Bombyx mori: one gene and its partners. The protein of the gene in region 7 purifies or fractionates together with the protein of the main gene of each other region. This does not show direct contact. Links are inferred from orthologs where the notes say so. Each region holds a gene or a part of one and is shown on either strand. Other genes may lie near its edges.

Region 1 (4,087 bases), on a different chromosome or scaffold from region 7:
ATGTTCTTCATCCAAAAGTTTCACTTCATCAAGACTACCTACAGGGCCATTGAATATTAGCTGTGATTCCTCTACTATTTTCCATATTCTAATTGTACTATCCCTGCCACCAGATGTTATTGCTCTCTCCCTTGTCAATGCATCAATGGATGATATTGGAGTTTGATGACCAAAAAGTGTTTCCACATAAGACATTTCATCTAATGACCAAATTTTTACAGAGCGATCTTTACTTGCAGAGTACATGTCATGTGTATTCTTTCTAAAAACTAGACCTATGATAGAATCTTTGTGTCCTTTAAATGTATGTATATGCTTAAAGGTTATTGGGTCCCAAATTTGAATGTTGGATGACTCGTCGGATGATGCGAGATATTTTGAATCTGTTGATATAGCTAAACTAGTAATGCCACCTTTTAAGAAATTCGAGTGGGTTTTATATGTTAATGTACCAACTTTTCTCTTTTCTTTGATACTCCATTTAACAATCGTGCTACATTTACTGCCTGTAAATACTAAGCTACTATCATTACTGATACAAACACATGTGAGAGTAAGTCGATGTTCTTTAGCTCGTATGACTTTGACATCGCTGTCAGTAGGTGCCTGATATTTATCAGCAAGTTCCAATTTAAGTTTCCCTCTCTGTTCAAGATAATCTCTTTGTAAACGTTTTTGGACTGCATCATCGATCTCCTTTTCTTCGGCTCGTTTAGCTTCTTCTTTCTCAATTTCCTCTAAGTATTTTTTAGCTAACCTTAATTTCTTTTCCTCCACTGTCTCATGATCACTTTCAGATTCTTCTGCATCTGAAAATTTCTTTAAATCTAAGTCACTATCGGACGATTCGTGTCCGTTTTCTAGGTTAGGAAGTGTCGATTTCTTCACAGGTTTCTTTTTTATTTTTTCTCCTTTTCTTTTTTGAACTTGTCTAGATTTGCCTTTGAGGAAGAACGAAGACGACATTTCAAAGGTTTTTAATGAACTTTTGATTTAAAAAAAACAACAATATCAAAACACACACTGCTCCTTTCCTGCCGTGTATCTATATTGTGTGTTATCTATGCATTTATCATAAATAATAATAGTTCCGTTTTTACTACAGGAAAGGCGAAGGTGTCGTACCATACAGCATAATCTTTAATTTTCTTTTATGAAAAATATGGAGCTAAATGATATTGATGAAACATGAAGATGATTTACTTGATACTAATGAATTGGGTTGAAAATAAATGAAATAAGATGACATTTGATGAAATGGAGTCTCAGTAAAATGATGGTTACTGAGATTTTTTGGAAGAAACGTCTAGTGGCTTTATTTGACTTTGCTAAGCTTGTGCACTGTCACTGTAGCTAAAAAGTTGTTCATCATCAGCCCACAGTTGTCCACTGCGGTCATAGACCTCTCCTAATCTACACCATTGAGCCCGATCTTGGACTTTCTTCATCCACCTCTTGCCGGCAATCATTCGGAAGTAATCGCACCACCTAATCAAGGGGCGTCCAACGCTACGTTTTCCGTTGTGCGGTCGAGAACCCACCTGCAACAGCGATCGTTCATTATACGTCACAGCTCACGAGGCTCAAACCTGACGACGTTGCTAACACGAACCCTAGCAAGAGCCGTGCTTCGCAGAATCTACCACCGGATCGGAAACGCGACCCACTGAGAAGATCCGGCGAGAAACTCAGTGGGCTGTGTCTGAGGGTTCATTTACTCGTCGAGCCCTTCGTCGCAAGCGACGGTTTCAACGAGAACGGTGACCGGTGCTTGAGGTACCCAAAAGCACCGTTAGTGGATCGGGAGGAACCGAAATGACGTGTTTGGGGCGACGTCGACTGCTTTCCATTATTTCCGCAGGATCGGGAATGTAGTTACCGGCGGCCACGATGAGAGGGTTCTCGTGTCGTGCCTCTTTATCGAAGTGGCGCATCGACGCAGACACTTACTGATGGACTCCAAGTCCAGGTCGTCATGGAGGTCGACGTTCCTGACGAACCACGGGGCTCCGACGGCTATCCTGCAAAAACGGGATTGAATAACTTGGAATGATTATAAGTGAGTGCGGGCCACGTGAGCGAACACTACACTTGCATAGGTCATGACGGGGCGTATGCAAGTTTTCAAGGCCGCTCGCGACACCGCGGTCTTATATAATAACGAATTCCATAATGTTCACTCCAAACACACGAGTATCATTGCCGAATGAAGAAACTAAACTAGTCAAGAGAAGACTAGGCGCATGTAGTCTGGAGGCAGGCATCGCTGCCATTCCGGTGTGACACGGCCCTAAGGTAGCCTACCGTAATACAGATTCTTAGCACACCTTGCTCTATCGTTACCGTGAGTAGGAATCTTGGAACCCGTAGCTTGCGACGAAAGGTTCGGCGAGCAAATTAACCCAGTTTGTCGCCGGATCGCGTTTCCGATCTGGTGGTAGTTTCTGCGAAGGACTGCTCTTGCTAGGACTAGTGTTAGCAAATTCCTCAGGTAACAACAGGTAGAGAATCAATTTAATTACCTCATTAAATTTATATTTGAAGTAAGACACCGCAAGTCTAAATGTCGCTTAATTTCGAAGACAAATATGTGTGTACAATTCTTATTTTCATTTCCTTATATTACTTTTCTCCTTGAATCAAACTTAGACGTTTTTATTATGAAAACAAAGTGTTAAAAAGTTTGTGTGATGACGACAGTGATCAATTTGTTTTTCTGTCCCTAAAGTACGGCTGACATTTTTAGTGACTGGCAGTATCCACCACTTATTTATCAGTTGATATACTATCTTATTTTCAGAGTATATCGACGCTTGAAAGGCAAACATGACTAAGCGACAATAACTGCTTTGTACATAAATGATAGGCAATAACCATATTCGATGCGCAAAAAAATATATTTCTAAGTCTATTAAAATAATTTCAATTTTACAGCTAGATTCGTTAAAATAAATAAAAAATTCAGGTATTTCAACTTTAAATTAGTCTACTGTAAAGTTCACGCATCATCGCTTAGTCATGTTTGCCTTTCAAGCGTCGATATAGTTTGTATTGGAGAGATAAATAAAAGTCATTTACATAGTTATTATTTTATTTGACAAAAAAACCTACGACAAAATCCTGTAGCTGATCCATGTGTGACGATCTTCTCTTCTAAATACATTGAAAGCAAAAGATGCTTGCTACAAACCTTTTACAGCAAGTCATGCTCAAACTACAAGTTTAAAGGCAATGCACACAAAGGAGGGCAGGGGGTTACCGATAAGAACCTAGACGAGCTCGAAACAGCATAGAAGACTGCAACAGCATACAGGCCAGCGAGCAGCACCGGCCTGTTAAACAAATGCAAATGTTAGTGCAGTCTGTGCTCCAACAACATACAGCCTCTGGGTTTGTTTCTGATGCATTATTGTTCCGATTACTACTAGAAATCTGTGCACACATTTTACTTACTATATCAACTCTTTTGCATCAATATTGTTGATATAAAGTTTGTTTATCATAGGAATAAAGATCTTTTATATACTTACATTTTATATTTTTTTTATTTTTTTTGTAATGCTATATATAGCAACGTGTCATTAATTTTGTACAAAATGCATGTGTCGGTTGGGCAATAAATACAAAGATTTACTCATAACTTTGATACTGCAATTACGGCAATTCCGCGTCTGTCAGCAAACAGCGCACACAACCCCCTCCCCGCACACAGCAACGCTCCACGCGCTCACCTCACGCCCTGAGCATACCAATTCATCAGTTAATCTTGAAGTAATTAAATTTACATACGTAAGAATTCTACATAATACAATCCTGAGTATTAGGTTGGGTCATATTACATTAGTATTAATAGTTATATGCAAATTATTTTTACACTCAGATACATCTTCAACAACCCAGTACTCAATTATTAGCATTTTTAAGTATTAGGGACATTGTTTTATGAAATTTTATCATTACCAAAATTGGAGTTCACAAATTAATGCCCAAGTTAGCCCAAATAATCCTTGTAGTGGTTTAGTCTTCCAGATTGTTTTATGAACCTGAAATAATATCTAACCGCTCCCACATCACATCTAATATTGTA
Region 2 (3,500 bases), on a different chromosome or scaffold from region 7:
GTCGTAACTACTGATATGCCGACCTTACTCCACTTTTTCAAACATGGCATCCATTTTATCCGTAATAGGGCGACCAGAGCGACGTGCATCTTTGACATCAAAATTTCCGGATTGAAAACGCTTAAACCAAATTTGTGCTACTCTCACAGACACTGCACTAGGTCCATAAAGATCTCAAATTTTTTTCGCGGCTTGCATTGCTTTTTTACCTTTTTTGTAGTAAAATTTTAAAATGTATCGAATTTCTTCATTAGATTCACTCATCTTGACAGTACGAAAAATAAATAAAAATCACACATTTTCCTAATTTGAATTTGGAATTATCTTCTTTAAAATTTAAACTTTTAATGATACCAAAACCAGCCAGATACAAATAGTATAGCCAAAGAGATTTTATTACAAGTTCATACATGCTATAATGCGAAAAGACTTTTTTCCCAACCTACTATAAACAACAACAACAAAATTGAACAAACAACAACAAATCTAAGACAATGTTCACCGGTGAATTAAAGTTGGAATCCGGGGTATCGCTTACTACCGAGTACCTACCGAGCACTACCGAGTTACGGACCTCGGTCTCGTGTCTCGAGACGGATGCGGCAGCCATGATGTCCATGGGCTCCCGTAGCCATTGAGCAACAGATCATCGTGTGTTTCCAGAGATATTTTGTGCCACGTACCATCCGACTCTAGAATGACCTTCCCTTCTCAATGCTTACGAGCGCTATGATACGCCCTCACCAAATGGGGTTTGCGGAGTTTTATTTTTATTTTTTATTGCTTAGATGGATGGACGAGCTCACAGCCCACCTGGTGTTAAGTGGTTACTGGTGCCCATAGAAATCTACAACGTAAATGCGCCACCCACCTCGAGGTATAAGTTCTAAGGTCTTAGTATAGTTACAACGGCTACCCCACCCTTCAAACCGAAACGCATTACTGCTTCACGGCAGAAATAGGCAGGGCGGTGGTACCCACCCGCGCGGACTCACAAGTGGTCCTACCACCAGTAATTACGCAAATTATAATTTTGCGGGTTTGATTTTTATTACACGATGTTATTCCTTCACCGTGGAAGTCAATCGTGAACATTTGTTGAGTACGTATTTCATTAGAAAAATCGGTACCCGCCTGCGGGATTCGAACACCGGTGCATCGCTACATACGAATGCACCGGACGTCTTATCCTTTAGGCCACGAAGACTTCATTCTCAGTGATAGAGCTGCTGATCAGTATTTTCAAGTGGGCCGTATACGCGTCTGCCTACAAGGGCGTGAAAACTTAAAAAGGACTTTTTGGCGGGAACGCGAGGAGTGAAGTTGTGTGATTTGTTTTATTTTGTGTATTTAGTGTTTCTTCAGGTTTAAATGTGTAATAACGGTGGTTTATTAACTGTTTAATATCTGTGAAAGTGCACAAATGTGGGAAAATGAAACAAAGCCGCTGGACATATCTTCTCGGGATCCTCCAAAAAGTCCACTGAAAAAATCTCAGTAAATGACCACCTTTACTGAGATTATATTTCATCCCATATCACCTCATTTCATTTAATTTCATCCCAGTTGATTAATGTTTCAAATTAATCATCTTCATTTCATTTCATTTCACTCCATATTATCATTTTTCATAAAAATAGGAAAATACATTATAATAAGATATGACTTAAAGGACTTACTTAACAGGTCATACAATCACTTTAAAAAAAAAATGAAAAAAAAATGGCCTTGGTCTAATTCACCTCTGGACGCATCCGATGGAGTTGCAGAACACGATCGTCCTGCCGGGGTGCCTCTTCAGCACGTAGTACAGATACGCATCCTTGTGCTGCACGGAGCACGTGATCCTGCTCTCCGTCAGGGTCTCTGCAGCACCTGTCCCAAGACCATAAGCTGCTTTACTGGTTTCCAGTTCCGTGGTGTCCGACCACGTCTAGTTTAGGGCACGTGGACCACACGATCCCGCAACTAACTCGACGAGAAGACGGTAGTAGTGCAAGAAAAGAATGTTGATCAGTAGACGGTTTTTTTCAACACTGGGGCCTCAAAGCCTTTCCAATTTCACCGGGGCGGCTGTTTTGCTGATTACTTTTCACATTTTCGCAGTGTTTCAGGGTGTTTCGCGAGCACTATGACATGTTCGTCTTCAAACGAGACTTGTGGAGAGTATTTAACGGTAGGCAGCGGCTTGGCTCTGCCCCTGGCATTGCTGAAGTCCTTGAGCAACGGTAACCACTCACCATTAGGTGGGCCGCATGCCCGTCTGCCTACGCAGGCAATATTAAAAAAACCTTGAACTGTTTAAGTTCAAGGAATGCGTTTACCAGGGTCCCTATACGTGCCCCCAGTGCTAAAGCTGCAGGCGTCTAATGACAGTGTCAGTGGGTCGGAAAAATCCTTTTTTTTCCTACCTTAACTGATAGCCTTGAGAGGCTATTTCAACGTAACCTTAACTAGTAGGTGAGCTCACGGGGCTCAAACCTGACGACGTTGCTAACACGGACCCTAGCAAGAGCCGTGCTTCGCAGAATCTACCACCGGATCGGAAACGCGACCCACTGAGAAGATCCGGCGAGAAACTCAGTGGGCCAGTCTACAGTAGGCGCGCGAATTCATGTCCATCCTGAAGAATGCAGTAGTGCTGTGACCTAATTAATTATGGTAATGTCGATAATAACTACCGATTTAGTCAACAGCTTTCAATTTGGTTTAATGTGTAATAACTTAAGGTAATTTTGCAAATTATGAAATAAAATAAATGTGATAAGTAATTACTTATTTATTTCTAATAGAGAAAAATATTTTTTAAATTCCAATTTTATATTCCACTATCAAATGAAAAGACAACTGACAGATCAGAGTCGGAAACAGTATGTATCTTTTTTCAGTAGGTTTTTTTCTATCTGAACTTGTTGGAAGCGGAGTAGTCATGGTTAAATAACACAATAGCGTTAGCGTAAATTTTCGATATCGATAAGCCGCGTCACAACCGTCAGGAGAACACTCGACGTCAGATAAATGGGGGAGGAGGGTGAAGGCGGGGCGAGCTGTCCCCCGCGCGTCGCCTCTGGCCCCGATGGACATGAACTCGCGCGCATACTGTACCTTGACGCTGCGGCACCAGCGGCGTCGGCTTACCCAGGTTTTGCGCGGTGATGTCGACCACCTTGGGGTCGGTCATGCCAATCATTTTGACCAATCTATTGATTTTCTGCTGCGATGTCATCTTGTCCACTTTCCTGTTTAATATCTTCCCTCGCTTTGTCACCTGTTATAGAGAAGGAATCGTAGTAAAAAAAATTACACACCCTTAACTGTCACGTAACTTTAACAGTGTTTTTTTTATTGCTTAGATGAATGGACGGAGCTCACAGCCCACCTGGTGTGAAGTGGTCACTAGAGCCCATGGACATCTACAACGTAAATGCGCCACTCACCATGTGGTATAAGTTTTAGTGAGCTCACCTACTAGTTAAGGTTACGCTGACAGTCACCCAAGA
Region 3 (2,604 bases), on a different chromosome or scaffold from region 7:
AGCTACTTACTAGAAAATACACATAGAGAGGTTGGCTTTCAGATCTTTTTGAGCTGATATAATAATATGTGAAACTAATATCTATACTAATATATCAATCTAGTGGTTTTTACGGATGTTCCGTTATAACTACTGAGCCATGCCGATTGACTTGAAACTTAGTATCCATGTAGAAAATACATGTACTTATATTTATATGAGTGTTGGACTCCCTAATAATAATGACAATAAATAATAATGTTAATTTTAAATCCCAAGCGAAGCGGGCGAGTACGGCTAGTATTATATAAAACCGACAAGATGCTGTATCTTACATACTAAATAAAGATGAATAGATAACATACCCCATCGAGCACATCACCAGCGACTGCATACACTTTGTCATTCCATTCACCCTTATATAGGGTTATTTCGTCAATGCCGAACACATCGTCTGAAAACACAATTTAAAAGTAGTTAAATTATAGTACTTAGTTTCCGTTGAAGTTGAGTTGATTAACTGCAATTACATTAGCCTACTAGCCTCTGAGAACTACTATGACCAAAGCTTACAGCATGGCCGGATCTGAACAAATCTTACGACTTAACATATCTTTTGCGTGAAGTGGAAATTTTCAATCATTTTTGCCCCTATAGAACTATAAAAATTATAATCTGGTATTTTGTATGTGATACCAAATAATTTATATTTGCAAAAAGCTCTGATCTTTTTTGTCTATAATGTGTTGATTCAATGCTAACAATGTCAATAATTGAATTATTTTTGCTTACATAGACTATTTTAATATATTTTCATTTTATTTTCAATAATCAAATTTACAGACAACTACTGTTAGATAAAGGCCTCCTGAAGGTCCAAAACAACCCCCAAAAAATCAAACCCGCAAAATTATAATTTGCATTATTACTGGTGGTAGGACCTCTTGTGAATCATCACGGGTAGGTACCACTACCCTGCCTATTTCTGCCGTGAAGCAGTAATGCGTTTCGGTTTGAATATATACTTGAGACCTTAGAACTTATATCTCAAGGTGGGTGACGCATTTACGTTGTAGATGTCTATGGGCTCCAGTAACCACTTAACACCACGTGGGCTGTGATATCGTCCACCCATCAAAGCAATAAAAAAAAAACATCGACATCATGCTGCTCAGATCTACTGGATTCTTGCTACCTTCACACCTTTAGTACTTCATCTAATACAACAGCAATTTTGATACCCCTATACACAGATCAAAAGTGAATAATGATGACACCTTGATATTTAAGATTGAGGTTATATATTAATTGTATTATGGCAGAAACAAAAAGGGAAAAAAGGAAAGGGGAGGGTGAGTCTTGACACATTCTTGCACTATCACCAAATTCTAAACTGAAATAAACTTTTTTCTTTGTAAATTGTATATCGACACTTGAAAGGCAAATGTGACTAAGCGACAGTGCGTGAACTTTACAGTAGACTAATTTAAAGTTGAAATATTTGAAAACAAAATTTATTTTAATGAATCTAGCTGTAGTAGAATCTAGCTAGTAGCTGTAGGATTGGAATGCTTTTAATAGACCTAGAAATATTTTTTTTTGTGCATTGAATATGGTTATTACCTATCATTTATGTACAAAGCAGTTATTGTCGCTTAGTCACGTTTGTCTTTCAAGCGTCGATATGGTAAACAGACTATTTTGACTTCTTAGTACTCAATCTTTAGACCCATTTGATTAATCAGAATCAAGAAATAATTAAGTTTATGTATACTCACTATATTCATCAGCAGAAGCTGCAGGTGGATCTTGAAGATAGGAGCAGGTGAAACCAAGGGTGGTGTCTCCTCGGACTAGGTCAACCTCAAACTGAGGTTTGGAACGCATCTCAGAGAACTCTTGCTTCTCAGTCTGAACATCACCCTCAAAGTCATCAGAGTCCACAGTGTGATTAACGTTGAATGTGACACGAATTCTGAAAAAAATATATAGTTAGACTTAAAATTTCACTATTTTTAATGATATTTCTGTGGGCTTGTTTCTTTAGTTTTTCGAATTTCAACAAATTGACGAAGATTGCTGGGCAGTAAAATAAGTATTTGGCAACATTTATTAACAACTGTTTCCCCAAAAAAAAATTATTCAATATTTCTCCTTCTCAAGATTTCATTACTTACGTTTCATCTTTAAGCTGCTTTGTTAAAACAACTTCAGCACCGTCTCCCTTTACAGTAAAGCCTTCGACTTCAGCAGGGAGAGACTTGACCTTCTGTGCTTTGCGTTCAGCAACTATTTCTTCTGTCAGGAACTCTACCAGTTCTCTTTCACCTGAATTTATATAAATTGGTTTTATTATGTACATTGAGAATGAAAATAAGTGCAATTTATTCTACAATACTGTAAAACATTCAATAAGTAGGTAATGAATTTTAATCAACAAACAACAAGTTTATAATACACAAACAAGGTATTTTTTTAATTTCTCTCATTTCACTACTATTTTATTAACTACAACAACTACATTAGATTTACATTACTCTTGATTATAATGATGAATAGTAATAACTGCAGATCAACAGAGAAAATCCAACTATACTATTCAACACTATATTTCATTGTGCCTGT
Region 4 (2,688 bases), on a different chromosome or scaffold from region 7:
TTATAACACGAACAAGTTTGGTCAATTACTCTTGTTATTTCAAAAATCAGATACATTAAAGTGCTGTTTTTAGTGAATCTCTTGTGATGGATGACTTGTTCAAAATCTTCTGGAAAAAATGGATGATTAGACACCAACTCTCTACTGGTGATAGACTTTTATTTCGTGTTTAAAGTTGGCATTAAAATTGTGATTTCTATTTATTGTATTTGATCTATTCGCTGGTAGCTTCTATGGCTTCGGTGCCCACCTAAAGACAGGTGAGTTCTGAGTCATTTTAGTCATCTCTTCAGTGTCCACTTCAGTTTTGGTGATAACGCGTATTGTGAACCCAAAGAGTATCAGCTTATCAACACTACTGGTAGTAGAGCCTCTTGTGAGTCCGCACGGGTAGGTACAATCACCCTGCCTATTTTTGCTGTGAAGCAGTAATGCGTTTCGGTTTGAAGGGTGGGGCAGCCGTTGTAACTATTCTGAGACCTTAGAACTTATATCTCAAGGTGGGAGGCGCATTTACGTTGTCGATGTCTATGGGCTCCGGTAACCATTTAATACCAGGTGGGCTGTGAGCTCGTCCACCTATATAAGCCTTAAAAAAAAACCCAGTCAAACCCTTAGCAGTAAAAAGTTCGTTAAATACGAACAAACTTTGGCGGGAACGCGAGGAGTGTAGTTGTGTGAGTTGTTTTATTTTGTTAATTTAGTGTTTCTTTAGGTTTCATTGTGTATTAACAGTACTTTATTAGCAGTTTAATATCTGTAAAAGTAGACAACATGTGAGAAAATTAAATAAAGCCGTTGGACGTAGCTTCTCGTGATCTTCCAGAAAGTTCCCTGAAATAGTCTCAGTAAATAACCACTATTTTACTAGGACTAAATTTCATCCGATATAATCTCGTTTCGTTTAATTACTTCCCAATTGATTAATGTCAAATTAATCAACTTCATTTTATTTCGCTCCATATTATTGTTCTTTAAACTAATTTCATTTAAATACAGCATTTACAAAAGATTAGTCTGTAGGATGTGATACCTTCGCCTTTTTAGTGGGAGAAACAGAACTAAGTACTACATTACTGTACCTATACGAAAAGTCATAAAATTGAAATTTGAAAAAAAACTCGTAATTGAACTATTTAGTAAGTCGTTATAAATATTTTGTTTTTTTTTTCAAACGTTGGGTAAATTATTCTGCACCATACATTTAATTTTACATAAAAAATGACTACCCTATACTATTAAAATGTAAAGCTGTATAATTCATGTTGCCTCTGATTATTAAAATGAAAAAAAATATAACCAAAAAAACAAATGTCAAAGAAGCCACAACCCGCGTGTCTTTGAAACAACAGTATCAGAATCGTTAATAATATTTATACACAAAATATTTGTGATTTAAGTGTAGAATTGTGGCAAATACCTAAATTTTCTCTCCCTTACGTGAAGATTATTTCCTCAGTGAAGCGAGAGATCGCCGAGAGGTTGAGTTTTATTAATTCAACACCGCGGCATTGTAAACATGGTAAGTTGCACGTGTTAGCGATCTTCTTGGTATTAATTTACCTATAATAAGTCAGTTTTTTCATTAATCAGTTTCAAATTGAAACTTTCAATCATGTGATATCCAAAATACGGTTGCAATTTGAACTCATGTGAATATTTGAGGTTATCTTGAGATTGATTACATTCTAACTACCTAGAACATCTAAACTGTTCATAACTTTAATAATCTACTTTCACAGGCTGAAACCGAAGCTGCAGTGAACCCCAAGGCATACCCATTGGCGGATGCCGCCTTAACCGCTAAAATCCTGAACTTGGTGCAACAAGCTACCAATTACAAGCAACTTCGTAAAGGCGCGAACGAGGCCACAAAGACCCTTAATCGTGGTCTATCTGAGCTCATCATAATGGCAGCAGATGCCGAACCTCTCGAAATTGTTCTTCACATTCCAATTCTGTGCGAAGATAAGAATGTGCCATATGTGTTTGTTAGGTCTAAGCAAGCACTCGGTCGTGCTTGCGGTGTTTCCAGACCCATCATATCTTGCTCGATAACCATCAATGAGGGCTCACAACTAAAGCCTCAGATCCAAACTATTCAGCAAGAAATCGAAAGACTATTAGTTTAAGTATAAATAGACGTGTAAGGAAATTATTTTGTGTCGAATACAATATTTTAATAAAATAACGTATTTTATTTATTGATGCTTTTAGGAACAAAAAGGACCAGGATCTTTTGCTATTTAAACATAAAAAGTAGAACTTTACAATTATGAACTTTTACAATTGTGGCATCCTCCCTGATAATCTTTTCATCAACAAGTGCTTGTGTCTATTCAAACAGTACAGTGAAATGGTTTTTCAGTTCGATTTGAAGTATAGGACAGCTGAATTACAATGTTATCTACTGAGAATTTCACGTGATATAGGTGATGACAATCACTATGTGGTGTAAATACACTGTTAACTGAACAAATAAGGCACAAGTCGTCTAAAAAGAAGCTACATTTGTTTATAAAAAAATGGAGGTCTGCTTTGTTTCCGCTATATAAGTACAAATATTCTTTAGCAGTAGCAATTTTTTTGTTCACATGCCTTTGTCAATAAGCAAAGATATAGATTTTTCCGCTTTCTATTGAAGTTAAATTCTTAATCGCAAATCGCATAAAGCCTTAAATAAAACCA
Region 5 (4,199 bases), on a different chromosome or scaffold from region 7:
TTAGCTGGAGTTGCTTTTGGAGCCGGTTTCTTTTTTGATTTGTTATCATCACTGCTATCATCACTGTCATCTGAGGACTCCTGTTTTTTTGTCTGTGCCTTTAATGTAGGTTTTGACACAGGGGGTTTCTTTTTATCATCTTCACTATCATCACTGTCATCATCAGAAGATTCTTCTTTCTGTTTAATAGGTGTTTTAGAATTAGTTTGTTTGACTGGAAGTTTGGCAGGTGTAACAACTGATTTTTGTGGAACCTTTTTCTCAGATTCATCATCACTACTATCGTCATCTGATGATTCCTCTTTTTTTTGTGGTGGACGTACTGGATTTGTTTTTATTGGTTTAACAGGCTGCTTTTTAGGTTTTGACGTAACATCATCATCACTGTCGCTGTCATCTGATGATTCTTGTTTCTTAGCTGGTGTAATGTTAAGTTTTTTAACTGCTTGGTTGGGCTTAGATGCCTAAAAGTGCAATAAAAATCACATATAGTTGATATCTTTATCAAGGTAAATAAATAAATAAATATTGTATTCTCAGAGGTAGTGACGAATATTGTTATAAAATCACATTTGTTCATTGAAACTTGTTTACATCATTGAAGTTTATCTAAGAAGAAGTACTAGCAGTGTACATTATTTATGATTTTCCACGCTGAAAATTTACTAAATTGTTACCTGTTTTGGTGGCTCATCATCGGAGCTACCAGAATCTGAACTTTCAGCTTTTTTCTTAGTTGCTGGAACTTTCCCATTTGTTTGAATTGTTGGTTTCTTAGGGGCATCTTCTTCGCTCGAGTCACTGGAACTATATTAGCCACAGATTTTGTATATCGAATCTGAATTCTGAGTTTTCTTTATTTTAAAAGGAAACTCATATGCTGATCAGTGCTTTAAAACTTATAATATATTGAATTTTTTGTTGGATACCCAAGATATTGGTAAAAAAAAAGATATTTAAAAATCATTAATCTTCGAGTCAAAAATTAAATAATTTTCAGTTTACCTTAAAAATACTTGTACTAACTTATAAATTGAAGGATAAAATATTTACTTAACTTTTGAGAATTGAAGCCAAAAATACAATACTACTATCTAGAATATTCCAAAACTCATAGATTCTTAGCAAGCACTACTTTATCAATACATTCTAACAAGACTAAAACAAAATACTAAAATAATATGAATCATGTCCAATATTTTTATTGCTTAGATCGTTGGATAATCTTACAGTCCATCTGGTATGAAACAGTTACTGGAACCTATAGAAATCAACAATTTAAATTCCACCACCCACCTTGACAGTTCTAAGGTCTCAGTTTTTACAATACAATGGCTGCTGCATCCTTTATTCCGAAACACATTATTGCTTCATCATGGGAGTAATTCATGAGCATATGTTAAATACATATTTCATTAGAAAATATAGTACCTGTTTATGGAATCAAACACCGGCACACTTGCATTGCTTGATACAAATGCACCAGGCGTCTTATCCTTTAGACCATGATGAATTCTAAATTTAAACAAGATTATTATTCAATTTACACAAGATTAAATGACAGTCTAATAACTGCAATATGATAAAGTAACAATGGAAATAGGCTTACCTTTCAGCTTTTGCTTTATTTCCTTGATTAAACTTGGCAATGATGTCTAAGAGGGTCTGTTGGTTTTTGGCACGTGGTTTCTAAAAAAAAAATTTTACAAGCTACTTAGTAAATTGTAGTTATTTATACCTTTTAATACTCTGAAATAATTAGATATTTTATTGTAGCGTCCCACCTTAACATTAGACATTGTATTCTCAAATACAACACAGCAGTACCTAGTCCACATTAATTAAATGGCTGCTTTAATACAGAAATGGGCAGATCAGTGCTCACTATCAGCAACCATGAAAGTTTAGAATTGTGTGACTATATATGTTGGATCCTGGTAATGTTGTTAACAATGAATTAAAAAAGGGTCAACATCTGTTATTATAAAAACCAGTACCAGACCCACCACGAAATCTTCTGAGGCAAACAGGTGTCTACCAATGTCGTCGGCATGTTTAAAAATGAATTGCTCTATAGTTTTATTCGGTGGCATTTTATACATGTTAGTATAATAATTTAGGATCCAACAGAGGACCGATGTCTGCGGAATAAATGACGTTCAGCAAGAGACCAATTAAGCCGGCTGCCGCATGTGGGGCGCTGATACAATGTAGCGTGCAACCAAGAAAAACTGCGATGCTTAGCGCGAAGTTAATGTTTTATTAGGGTATCTTCTAAACAGAATCGCAAACGATCAATACAGCATGTTAACTCCCGAATTACACACAAAATTTAAAAAAAACACGTGTGGAGGCCCCACGTGGTTTATATACTAACCGCTTTAGTTTTCTTCATGAAGGTCTGGGCCAGCGATTTGTCAATTTTTTCTAAATACTGGTGAACTAAGGAATTCACATCCGCTTGAATTTCTGTAGTTAAATTCATTTTGAAGTTTTTGTCTAATATTTAGTGAATCTCCTTATTTCCGGCTTCAACAGTGTAAACCACGCCGCCACCGTCAACTATCTTGAAATGTCATATGCACTCGCGTCAGTCAGAGTTACTATTGGTCAGAGTACCTACCGTATCCATAGACCTACTTCAGTGACCGTACCGTAGTCGTCACATGTCAGAGAGTTTCCATTTTTCCAACAGGAAAGGCGAAGGTATCACGCTTTTACATATATGCTTGTTTTTTTAAAAATTTAAATAAGGGGCTATGTTATGAATAAAATTAAGCGATCTGGGTGAAATCTGAGACTGTAATGAATTGGGATAAAATAAAGATTCAGTAAAATGATGATTAGTTACACATTTATACGCTTTGATAGAAGTTAAACACTTAACAAGCCACCGCTATTCCACGTTTAAATATTAAGAAACACTAAATTAACAAAATAAAACATTTCATACAACTGGTCGCATACCCACCAAACATTTTGTCAGCGATGTTAAACCAAACTGTTTCTTTTGCTAATCCAATAGTGCGAGAAAAATGTATGAGAATTTAGTTTTCTTAATCTAATCTTTCTGTTTATAGGAGAAGTGAAAAGAATGATCTTAAATGAAATCCTGAGATGAAAAACTCACTTAAACTCAAATTACATGTTTTGGAATTGACCAATATTTTTAATTAGTGCATCATTCTTAAGGTAATTTAAACATTATGATCATCGCGCCGTTATCATACAACTACTGCCATGACTTATTATCATTTTGGTATTGTTTAATACTATATAACTTTCATTATTTATTACATAGTATTCGATAATAGATTGTTATTGAAAAGCCGATACTGTAGCTTAAGTAAGGAAAATAAGGAAAACTATTTACGCTTTAGGGTTTTTAATAAGATCCAGAAGACCAGGTTTTAATAAGAATTAGGTGTTGAGGTATAGCACTAGCTGCGTGTCGCCGTACTACTAATGTTAACTCGTTACCATGGTTACATTTTCTTCTTATGAGATGTGTCGTGTGAATAAAATATAATTTGTAATAAAAAAAACAGAGTCTGCTTAATCTTCCACATAAAATCTTAACACTAAGTATTGTCAATTTAGCGTTTCTTCTCGTTTAAATATGTAATATGTATTTGGTTGACAGACGTTTGGTTTCTAGGATTATACAAGTGGGAGAAAATGAAAAGAAATCGCTGAAAATTGTTTCAAAGGCTCTCTCAAAAAATCTATTAATCTCTGAATAACTTTTACGATTTTACTATATCAAGATAATATTTCATTTCATCTTATCTAACACCTAAGGTGTCCTGTGATCTACCTTATTTAATTTAATTTCGTAATTATTAATGATACGGCATCGGTCTTTTGCTCTATGGGTCTCGTTCATTTTACCTTCCATTAGGAACAATAGGATCATAGCGACCGTCTCAAAGCTGTAGACGTTGTAGCATTGTATACATAGGTACTTAAGTTGTAGTGTTGGATTGTTTTTGGCCAATAGGTCTGTTACCAATGCCAGTAAAAAAAATAAGGCTGTTTTATGTCAATAAAAAATTTCTACATTTGTATATTGTGTAGATGGTGTAGATACATAACTACGTTTTGTGCTGGCAGTGTTATTTTTGGAATTAATTTTAGAATTGTAATTGTTTTCGCGTGTCGTGCGCTTAGTAAATAACAAATGAGAAAATGTTGCTCGT
Region 6 (3,950 bases), on a different chromosome or scaffold from region 7:
CCCTCACTCCGCCTACCATGGAGTTCGTGTTCAACAGATTCACGTTGCGCTTGTGTAGTGTTTGTGAATAAGCGCGTCGCGTGACGTCACACTGCATGCGCATCATGAAAAGTCTGCCCATCTCTCTCTCGCGCGGTCTAGCTTATGAGTGTGAAGAGGACAGTTAAGGTTTTGCTTTTATTAATGTTTAATATAGCGTGGTCTTGTTTTATGGTTTTAATATTAAATTATCATTGTCTAATTATAATTGCATAAGTTGATAAAAAATGATATGCAATAGCTTTACCGCGGCAGTTCCTGAGTACCACAGGTTTTTTGAAGTTATACTTCTTTAGGCGCGTTACGAAAAATGCGCGCGCACCGTGACACAAAATTAACAGAAATGAAGTTGCCCACTAAAGAAAAAATGCTACAAACAAAACAAAAATGGAACCTCTGTTAGTGGCGCATGTTGGCACGAACGCCGCCTCTGTTCATTGTGTATTTATATTTATAATATTTATCCACATGCTTTGAGTTTCTACATTTAAAACACGTGTTTTCATTTTGTTTTCATTATACAACTGCGAATTTTATATGTGCGTCTGAATGATAATCAGAAGTGATTTAAATTGAATATTTAAATCAATACTAATTAATATTATAAAATGTTTGCGAAAAAGCTGTGCTCATCAACCTTCCTAAGTGCTCTAATACAATTGAGGTTAACTATCCCTATGTATTATTTAGTAATATAAATGACAACATTATTATTTAATATAATTCATACTAAATATTATTAAATTATTAACGTTAAATATTTATTATTAATTATATAATATTTAAAAAATAAAAATAAAAATAAAGTATAACTTCTTACGCACGTACATAAGTACACGCATCCTTTTTTTATTTAATTCCGACCATTTTCATATTTATCTACCTTTTAAACCTTCTCTGGACTTCCACAAATGATTCAAGACCAAAATTAGCCAAATCGGTCCAGCCGTTTGCTAGTTTTAGCGAGACTAACGAACAGCAATTCATTTTTATATATATAGAAGAAGAAGATAGATAGATACATTACTTAGAAAAAAACTTAATGTAGGTATATACTATGTTCCTTTCGCCTGTATCAATGAACAAAAACGCTGACATTGACACTTAAAATAAACAACAGTCAAAGTCACAACACACATGGCATTTCTATGAAAGAGTACGGTACGGTACTTAATACTTGCCTGTTTTAGAATTTAATATTATGTGTTATTACTGATTTTAATGTTAAAAACAATATTGTTTTGTTACATACACAGTCTTAGTTTTATTTGTAATCTGCTGTTAATTTTTCGGAATTAATATTTATGTCTGTTTACTAGTTCAAATTAAGATGTCTAACGTAAAAATTAAAGTTATAAGTCGTAACCCAGAAGATTATTTGCGCGCTACGAAACGAGATATTCAGAAAAGTAAGTTAACTGCTCAAAAGTGTCTCATTGATAAAATATTATAATCTGTATATTTTAACAGTTAAAGGCTAATTTCCAGTACCTCGCAACTATGACCCGAGCTTGCATCCACTAGAAGCACCCCGTGAATATGTGCGTGCTTTGAATGCTGTAAAATTAGAGAGGGTATTTGCCAAGCCCTTTATTGGTTGTTTAGATGGTCACAGAGATGGGGTTTCTACTATGGCCAAGCATCCTAGCCAACTAGCAGTTCTAGCTAGTGGAGCATTTGATGGTGAAGTACGTATTTGGGACTTAACTGTACGGAAGTGTACAAGAAATTTTGTTGCTCATGAGGGATGGGTGAGAGCTTTATGTTACAATCCAGATGGAAAGCATTTTATGAGTGTTGGTGATGATAAAACTATTAAAACGTGGAAAGCTGAAGCTGTCACAGAGGAAGATGAGGAACCCACTAATACGTTGCTAAGCATGTCAGTGGTGTCTGGTATAACACATCATAGAAACAAACCAATCTTTGCCACCTGTGGTGAACAATGTCAACTGTGGGAGAACACAAGAAATGAACCGATTAAAGTTTTTAAATGGGGCGTAGATAGCTTACATCATGTTTCATTTAACCAGGTATGTTTGTCAATGAACATTTTTTAAAAATGTTTTTATTGTTAAATTTTTTATTTAAAATTTTAATTATTTTTATTTTACTGGTGGTAGGACCTCTTATGAGTCCGCATAGGTAAGTACCACCACTCTGCTTATTTTGCCGTGAAACAGTAATGGGTCTCAGTTTGAAGGGTGGGGCAGCCGTTGTAACTATACTGAGAGCTTAAAACTCATATCTCAAGGTGGGTGGCAGCATTTATGTTGTAGATGTCTATGGGCTCTGCTAATCATTTAACACCAGATGGGCTGTGAGCAGCACACACATCGTCCACACATCTATGCAATAAAAAAAATACATATAGCATTAATTAGTGCTGCATATGCACTAGAATTAAAGTGTTAGTATGTAGCAGTTAGTGGTCCCACCTTGAGATATTGATATGATTGAACTCTCAATTACAATATATCTTACCCTTCTATTATGGTTATTAATAGAAATATTCAACAATAGCTATGTATGTTGATAATTTTTGAACCAGCCTATGCCATAATAACCTTGTTTTTCAACAAAGCTATACTTTCTGGTTTGACAGTACTTAAAATAGATTTATAGAAATGAATAGAGGAAGCCTTGTATATGAGTCGTCTATTATCAAAGGTGGCAATCTGTGCATTTAGACAAAAAAAATTTATTGATATGTCAATACAGATTGATTTGAATATAATCGTCTCCTTCAAAGAATACGGTTCAAAACCTGCATTAAATAAAGGTTAATACTTAACCTGTTATTTATCTAAGATGTCGTTCAGAAGAGTTTTGTGACTGCCAATGGAATACAAAGTCAATAATTCGTTTTTCTGATTTACCAATAATTGTACAAAAGTCACATTGCCGGCTTTGATAATAGTCGACTCATATATATCTGGTAAGAATATTATTGCAGTGAATGCATTACAAGTCAGACAATAATAGGAATAATTCAAGGTTGGGAAGACAGGGTCACGGGGAACACAGGGCTTGATATGATGTCAAAAAGGAAATTCTGTATTATTTCAGGTTGAATACAATTTGTTGGCTTCTTGTGCTAGTGACAGAAGTATTATTTTATATGACTGCCGTGAATCTGGTCCTCTGAGGAAAGTTGTATTGGAGTTACGATCCAATGCACTCTCCTGGAACCCTATGGAAGCATTCATCTTTACAGTAGCTAATGAAGACTATAAGTTAGTTTATATTTTTATTAATTTGCAATCAATATGTATGAACCAGTTAAGCATTCATAGCCATTGAATTCAAACTAAAGTATATATGACCAAGAGTATGTAATGTTTGTGTAAATGGCAATATTGTGTTTTTTTTCTGTAAACCCTATATATAGAGTATACAGAAAAAAACTGATAAATGTTCTGAACATAATATAAAGAACTATATCTATAGAACATTTAACAGATTGGAACACTTAATTTACCTAGCTGATCCAAACTGGTTAAAATTCCTGAGTTATGTGTATTTTGGCTTCTCTGTAGAAGTTATAGTCATAAATAATTGTGGTATCTGGTTTAATATTAATCAAAATCTCTGTTAATCGATGATAATTAAAATTTACTGATTATCTAATACTTAACATCCTGACTGCTCAATTCTCAGAGTGACAAAAGTGGTTTTTAGAAGTCTTTAAAGATGCCATCAAAGCATTATCCCATTACTAGATTTGAACTGTCCAGGGCTAACAAGATTGGGGACAATACAAGTTTTAACTGTTGTGTACTGATATATGCAAATGTGGGTACACTAGAATAATTAGCTTGACACCAGCAACCTGTAGATGTTTTTCATGGTCACACCAGTAGATAATAATGTGTACATATAATTTTACATTATGCATGTTACTTACAGAA
Region 7 (4,169 bases):
ACGTTGTAGATGTATATGCGCTCCAGTAACCACTTAACACCGGGTGGGCTGTGAGCTCGTCCACCCATCTAAGTAATAAAAAAAAAACTTCGTGACGTATTTAAACTTACTGGTCCCACAACATCCGAGACATGACTGACTGTTGTTCCACTGGCAGCTCCGAGATACAAAACTCTTGACCCAGGGGCCATGTGTATAGCATCCACTCCACCCATAATTGCAGCTGCCAATTTCGATCTGAACGGATTCCAGACTCTGTACTCCACCTTATCACCTTCGTTCTGAAATTGCCCAGAGCGGTTAGTGGAGTTCCTTTGGTAAGACAAAACATATTTTAGTATTTTTTGTATCAATCAGTAGTGGGTATGTGGACATAGTCTTCATGGATAGGTCTAGATTAGAGGGACCATAATCATCATTTGAATGTAATGTAATGATGCAAAGTTAATGAATACTCTTTACACAAAGCATTGAAAAATACAGATTAATCATGGATTTATCATTTCATGAAATCAGATTACTAAGCCATCAATTGTCAAACATGAAAGCTATTGAAATATAATTGTGTTAAATGGTACTACAGTCAATCAAAACTATTATGAAATGGTTTCTTTGCATTGAAAAGTTCATTCAAACAACATACGTAAATTTAAACTGGATGAAATTTGTTACAGATCTTTATACTACACCCAATTCAGTATAACAAACTCTACTTATTTTTACTAACCTCAACTGATATTCTCTTTTCACCATAAACTTCTGATCCTGGCACTAGATTTTTAGTGACCAACGCATCTTCTTTGCCCCTAGCTATGAATACTCCTGGATGCCTAAAAAAAAAACCAAAACTTTGAACAAAGTTTTTTTTAATGTCAGTTGCGATTGACCAAGGATAAATAATCAGAAACAAAATTTAGCTTCAAGCGTTCGCTTTCAGAAGAACGAAAGTTATTGTTTGTAAACATCATTTAAAAAAATTCTTATTATAACAACCCTTTTAATCTGTATTGTAGATCCTCTTTTGATCAATTGATCTTATGCTAAACAAGTGGTTTAAATATATTCTGCCAACTGTCAATATGAGTTCCAATTAATTCAGGTTCCGTATATGTTATAGCTATTACAAAATGAGTAACCATGTAGATACCCATAATAAAAAAAGACAATTGTAATAAGCATGCCGATAACAACTAGAGTATAATTGAAATATTTTCTCTCAATTATACGTATATTACTTATAAATTAGTATTACGATGTAATGTAGAAAAGTCACTTGAAGGCATATATGTTCAGCCAACTATCCTTGGGTTCCAGTTATATCAAGTTTCACATATGTTATAGCTATTACCAAACGAGTAACCACATAGATGCCCAAGATCAAAAAAGACAATTGCAATAAGTATGCCAATAACAACTAGAGTATAATTGAAATATTTTCTCTCAATTATAAATATTTTACTTGTAAATTAGTATGATGTTGTAGCAAGAGAAGAGTTATTTGAAGGAATCTCTTCATGAATTTGCATCAATATTTTTAATCAACTAATACAAACCTGTGTGGTTCAATTATGACTTGTTTTCCGCCTTTGAAGCCTCCCCTGCTCGGGGGACCACCACGACCACGACCACGGCCTAAAACAAACCAACTCCTCAATAAAATATTACCATAACATTTTGTAATAAATCACAGTGGCTGTTCAATCAGAAGTGGGTATGTGGTATCATAGTCTTCACGAATAGGTCGAGATTAGAGGGACCGTTTGATCATCATATTGATTAGTGAAATAAATGTGAATAGAAAACTAAATGGTTTACTAAATTTATTATAGGCATTTGTAGTAGCTCACCTTTTCTTTATCAAAATAACTAGATATTAAAATATACATTAAGTTATTTTTATAACGAAAAGGTACTTATTATATTGAGCAAAATCTATTTCACTTTACTATTATTTACTCTCATGGGAATTAATTATGTTTGACACGTGGTGGTGTCACTTTAGTAGGTTATCGAAGTAATATCTTACCTCCACCACCTCTACCTCCGAAGCCACGGCCCCCGCCTCCGCCTCTCTTCTCGAACTTGCCGCCACCGCCGCCTCCACGGCCGCCACCGAAGCCACCTCGGCCTCCGCCACCGCCGCGACCTCCACGGAAACCGCCGCGACCGCCGCCTCCTCCGCGACCGCCATTAAATTCTAGACAAAAAATAATTACATACACTTTGTAATTATCGGGCATCGGCGCAACGTGGTGCCGAACGTATAACCTCAAAAGACTGGCATTTGTATTGGTAACAGTTTAGTTACCAGGTCAATTTGGTTAAAATTTGTTTATTAAAATTCATAACTAATGGTTAAAAAAATTACATTAATGCGTAGTTTACTACATCTGAATGAAAATAAGTGGCAATTTTCGAAAAGTTTCTTCTATAGTGTTTTTTGGTCTTTTAAAACTTATTTTCAGGATATATTTCAGTATTGGTACTTGGAAAACTTGTAAATTACACAATTTCATTCTTAAACTGCATAACGCGAGGACGAGTACACGCGGTAACCACACGTGGTATTAACGGACAATATTATTAAAAAAGTATTAACTTACCAGGTTTGCCCATTCTTAGAGTAAAACCAATTCACATCAATTCACAATTAACTTATCTACTTTAGAACTACCCAGGTACAACTTTAAAGTTATTAAACTTAAAAACGCTAGCGGAGCTATGCCGCCGCGCTACCTCTTCCGGAAATGAGACCATTTCAAATGGCCGATGTTGCCAAGCCAGATAAAAGAGTAATCATAGATTTTTTTTTTTTTTTTTTCTTTTTGGACCCAACACCAAGTGTTATTTGCCACTTTCAAAATAAAGGTTAGGAAGCAAAAATCAAATCAGAAAATATAAGTTAGATAAGGTTTAGGCAGGAAAATTGGATTAGGATTAATATAATTAGGAAGAATAAATAATATATATAATTATAATTTTAGGTTAAAACTGTTGAGGAACAAGATAATAATTTTATAAATAACTGGGTCTACTGTATGTAATAAATAAGGTACAGATATAGGAAAAGGAATACTAAGTGATGATAAAGAACTATAAAGAAGTGAATGATCAAAAAGGGGACATGAAAGAATAATGTGATTTAAATCGCCAATGTCCGCACCGCATTCACACTTACTGCTATCCAGCACTCCGATCGTCGCTAGATGTGCCGGACTACACGTGTGGCCTAATCTCATCCGTATCAAACTGGAAGTCTCGTGGCGTTTAAAATTATATTTGTAGAACCATGGTTTGGAAGGAATGGTTGGTTGTACCCTTCGGTAATATTTTGCTTTAACGCCATTATACCACTGTGCACTCCAAGCATTATTCAAATATGTTTTAGGGAGACTAACTAAATCATGACTATAATTTTTGAAATAATAAATATCACCACAATTGATAGCCTCGTTTGCAATTCTATCAACTATTTCATTTCCTTTAATTCCGCAATGGCTAGGTATCCATACAAATGATACTATAAGATTTTGATCCATACATTTCATTAACAGGTTTCTACAGTCTAAGAGAATAGGGTAAATCGGTTGAGATTTAAAAGGAAATTTTGCAAGAGCCTGTAAAGCACTCTTTGAATCGGTTAGTATTAAAGTTTTCTTTAGTTTGAATATCAAAATGTATTCTATGGCCTTGTATATTCCAAAACATTCACCAGTGAACACTGATGTTTCAGATGGTAATTTTATCTTTTCAACTATTTTTGATTGCGAATGATAGACTCCTACACCAACACAACCTTGAGGGTGTTTGGAAGCATCTGTATATATATGGTTATAATCATTCCAATCTTGGTCTATTACAAAATTAAAGTTAGTATTTGGTTGGGGTTGATACTTAGAAACACCCATGTCAAGATGAATATCCGGTTTTAAAATCAATGCCATATAGTTTACACAAAATAGAGGGAAAATATGAGAGTGATGAGTTGGAGTTTGAATAGACAAATATTTTCTGTAGCTAATTATTAAACATGGTAACTGTTTATGTTTCCAAAATGAAGAGGATTCTATGAGTTCATTTAAAGTTTTAAGTTTGGTAATAATGTGATTATTTTGAATTTGTAGGGATTTGAAAACGAATTTATCAGATAAATATTGACGTCTCAAATG

What was found.
Region 1: the proteins of rRNA 2'-O-methyltransferase fibrillarin (region 7) and U3 small nucleolar RNA-interacting protein 2 purify together in Homo sapiens (affinity purification with mass spectrometry; 3 studies listed by BioGRID and IntAct, counting the BioPlex papers as one, with this or other methods). This does not show direct contact. The link is inferred for Bombyx mori from reciprocal best matches to the Homo sapiens genes FBL and RRP9.
Region 2: the proteins of rRNA 2'-O-methyltransferase fibrillarin (region 7) and ATP-dependent RNA helicase DDX24 purify together in Homo sapiens (affinity purification with mass spectrometry; 3 studies listed by BioGRID and IntAct, with this or other methods). This does not show direct contact. The link is inferred for Bombyx mori from reciprocal best matches to the Homo sapiens genes FBL and DDX24.
Region 3: the proteins of rRNA 2'-O-methyltransferase fibrillarin (region 7) and mitochondrial matrix protein p33 purify together in Homo sapiens (affinity purification with mass spectrometry; 4 studies listed by BioGRID and IntAct, counting the BioPlex papers as one, with this or other methods). This does not show direct contact. The link is inferred for Bombyx mori from reciprocal best matches to the Homo sapiens genes FBL and C1QBP.
Region 4: the proteins of rRNA 2'-O-methyltransferase fibrillarin (region 7) and RpL7Ae purify together in Homo sapiens (affinity purification with mass spectrometry; 5 studies listed by BioGRID and IntAct, with this or other methods). This does not show direct contact. The link is inferred for Bombyx mori from reciprocal best matches to the Homo sapiens genes FBL and SNU13.
Region 5: the proteins of rRNA 2'-O-methyltransferase fibrillarin (region 7) and nucleolar protein dao-5 fractionate together in Homo sapiens (co-fractionation; 3 studies listed by BioGRID, with this or other methods). This does not show direct contact. The link is inferred for Bombyx mori from reciprocal best matches to the Homo sapiens genes FBL and NOLC1.
Region 6: the proteins of rRNA 2'-O-methyltransferase fibrillarin (region 7) and DDB1- and CUL4-associated factor 13 purify together in Homo sapiens (affinity purification with western blotting; 3 studies listed by BioGRID, with this or other methods). This does not show direct contact. The link is inferred for Bombyx mori from reciprocal best matches to the Homo sapiens genes FBL and DCAF13.

The regions. Positions count from the first base shown.
Region 1 is NC_085123.1:3,098,102-3,102,188, forward strand, and holds the start of U3 small nucleolar RNA-interacting protein 2, read right to left. Parts: upstream 2,801-4,087; 5' UTR 967-2,800; coding exon 1-966. UniProt on the Homo sapiens protein: Component of a nucleolar small nuclear ribonucleoprotein particle (snoRNP) thought to participate in the processing and modification of pre-ribosomal RNA (pre-rRNA).
Region 2 is NC_085126.1:10,464,072-10,467,571, forward strand, and holds part of ATP-dependent RNA helicase DDX24, read right to left. Parts: intron 3,269-3,500; coding exon 3,139-3,268; intron 1,876-3,138; coding exon 1,743-1,875; intron 1-1,742. UniProt on the Homo sapiens protein: ATP-dependent RNA helicase that plays a role in various aspects of RNA metabolism including pre-mRNA splicing and is thereby involved in different biological processes such as cell cycle regulation or innate immunity.
Region 3 is NC_085114.1:15,032,574-15,035,177, forward strand, and holds part of mitochondrial matrix protein p33, read right to left. Parts: intron 2,308-2,604; coding exon 2,157-2,307; intron 1,955-2,156; coding exon 1,758-1,954; intron 434-1,757; coding exon 345-433; intron 1-344.
Region 4 is NC_085117.1:6,325,430-6,328,117, forward strand, and holds RpL7Ae (ribosomal protein L7Ae), read left to right. Parts: upstream 1-1,314; 5' UTR 1,315-1,519; coding exon 1,520-1,522; intron 1,523-1,742; coding exon 1,743-2,132; 3' UTR 2,133-2,188; downstream 2,189-2,688.
Region 5 is NC_085128.1:10,883,313-10,887,511, forward strand, and holds the start of nucleolar protein dao-5, read right to left. Parts: upstream 2,801-4,199; 5' UTR 2,486-2,800; coding exon 2,378-2,485; intron 1,690-2,377; coding exon 1,610-1,689; intron 808-1,609; coding exon 678-807; intron 465-677; coding exon 1-464. UniProt on the Homo sapiens protein: Nucleolar protein that acts as a regulator of RNA polymerase I by connecting RNA polymerase I with enzymes responsible for ribosomal processing and modification.
Region 6 is NC_085118.1:7,564,351-7,568,300, reverse strand, and holds the start of DDB1- and CUL4-associated factor 13, read left to right. Parts: upstream 1-1,150; 5' UTR 1,151-1,369; coding exon 1,370-1,448; intron 1,449-1,527; coding exon 1,528-2,072; intron 2,073-3,108; coding exon 3,109-3,275; intron 3,276-3,950. UniProt on the Homo sapiens protein: Part of the small subunit (SSU) processome, first precursor of the small eukaryotic ribosomal subunit.
Region 7 is NC_085130.1:7,816,901-7,821,069, forward strand, and holds the start of rRNA 2'-O-methyltransferase fibrillarin, read right to left. Parts: upstream 2,801-4,169; 5' UTR 2,617-2,800; coding exon 2,604-2,616; intron 2,198-2,603; coding exon 2,027-2,197; intron 1,633-2,026; coding exon 1,554-1,632; intron 831-1,553; coding exon 728-830; intron 282-727; coding exon 111-281; intron 1-110.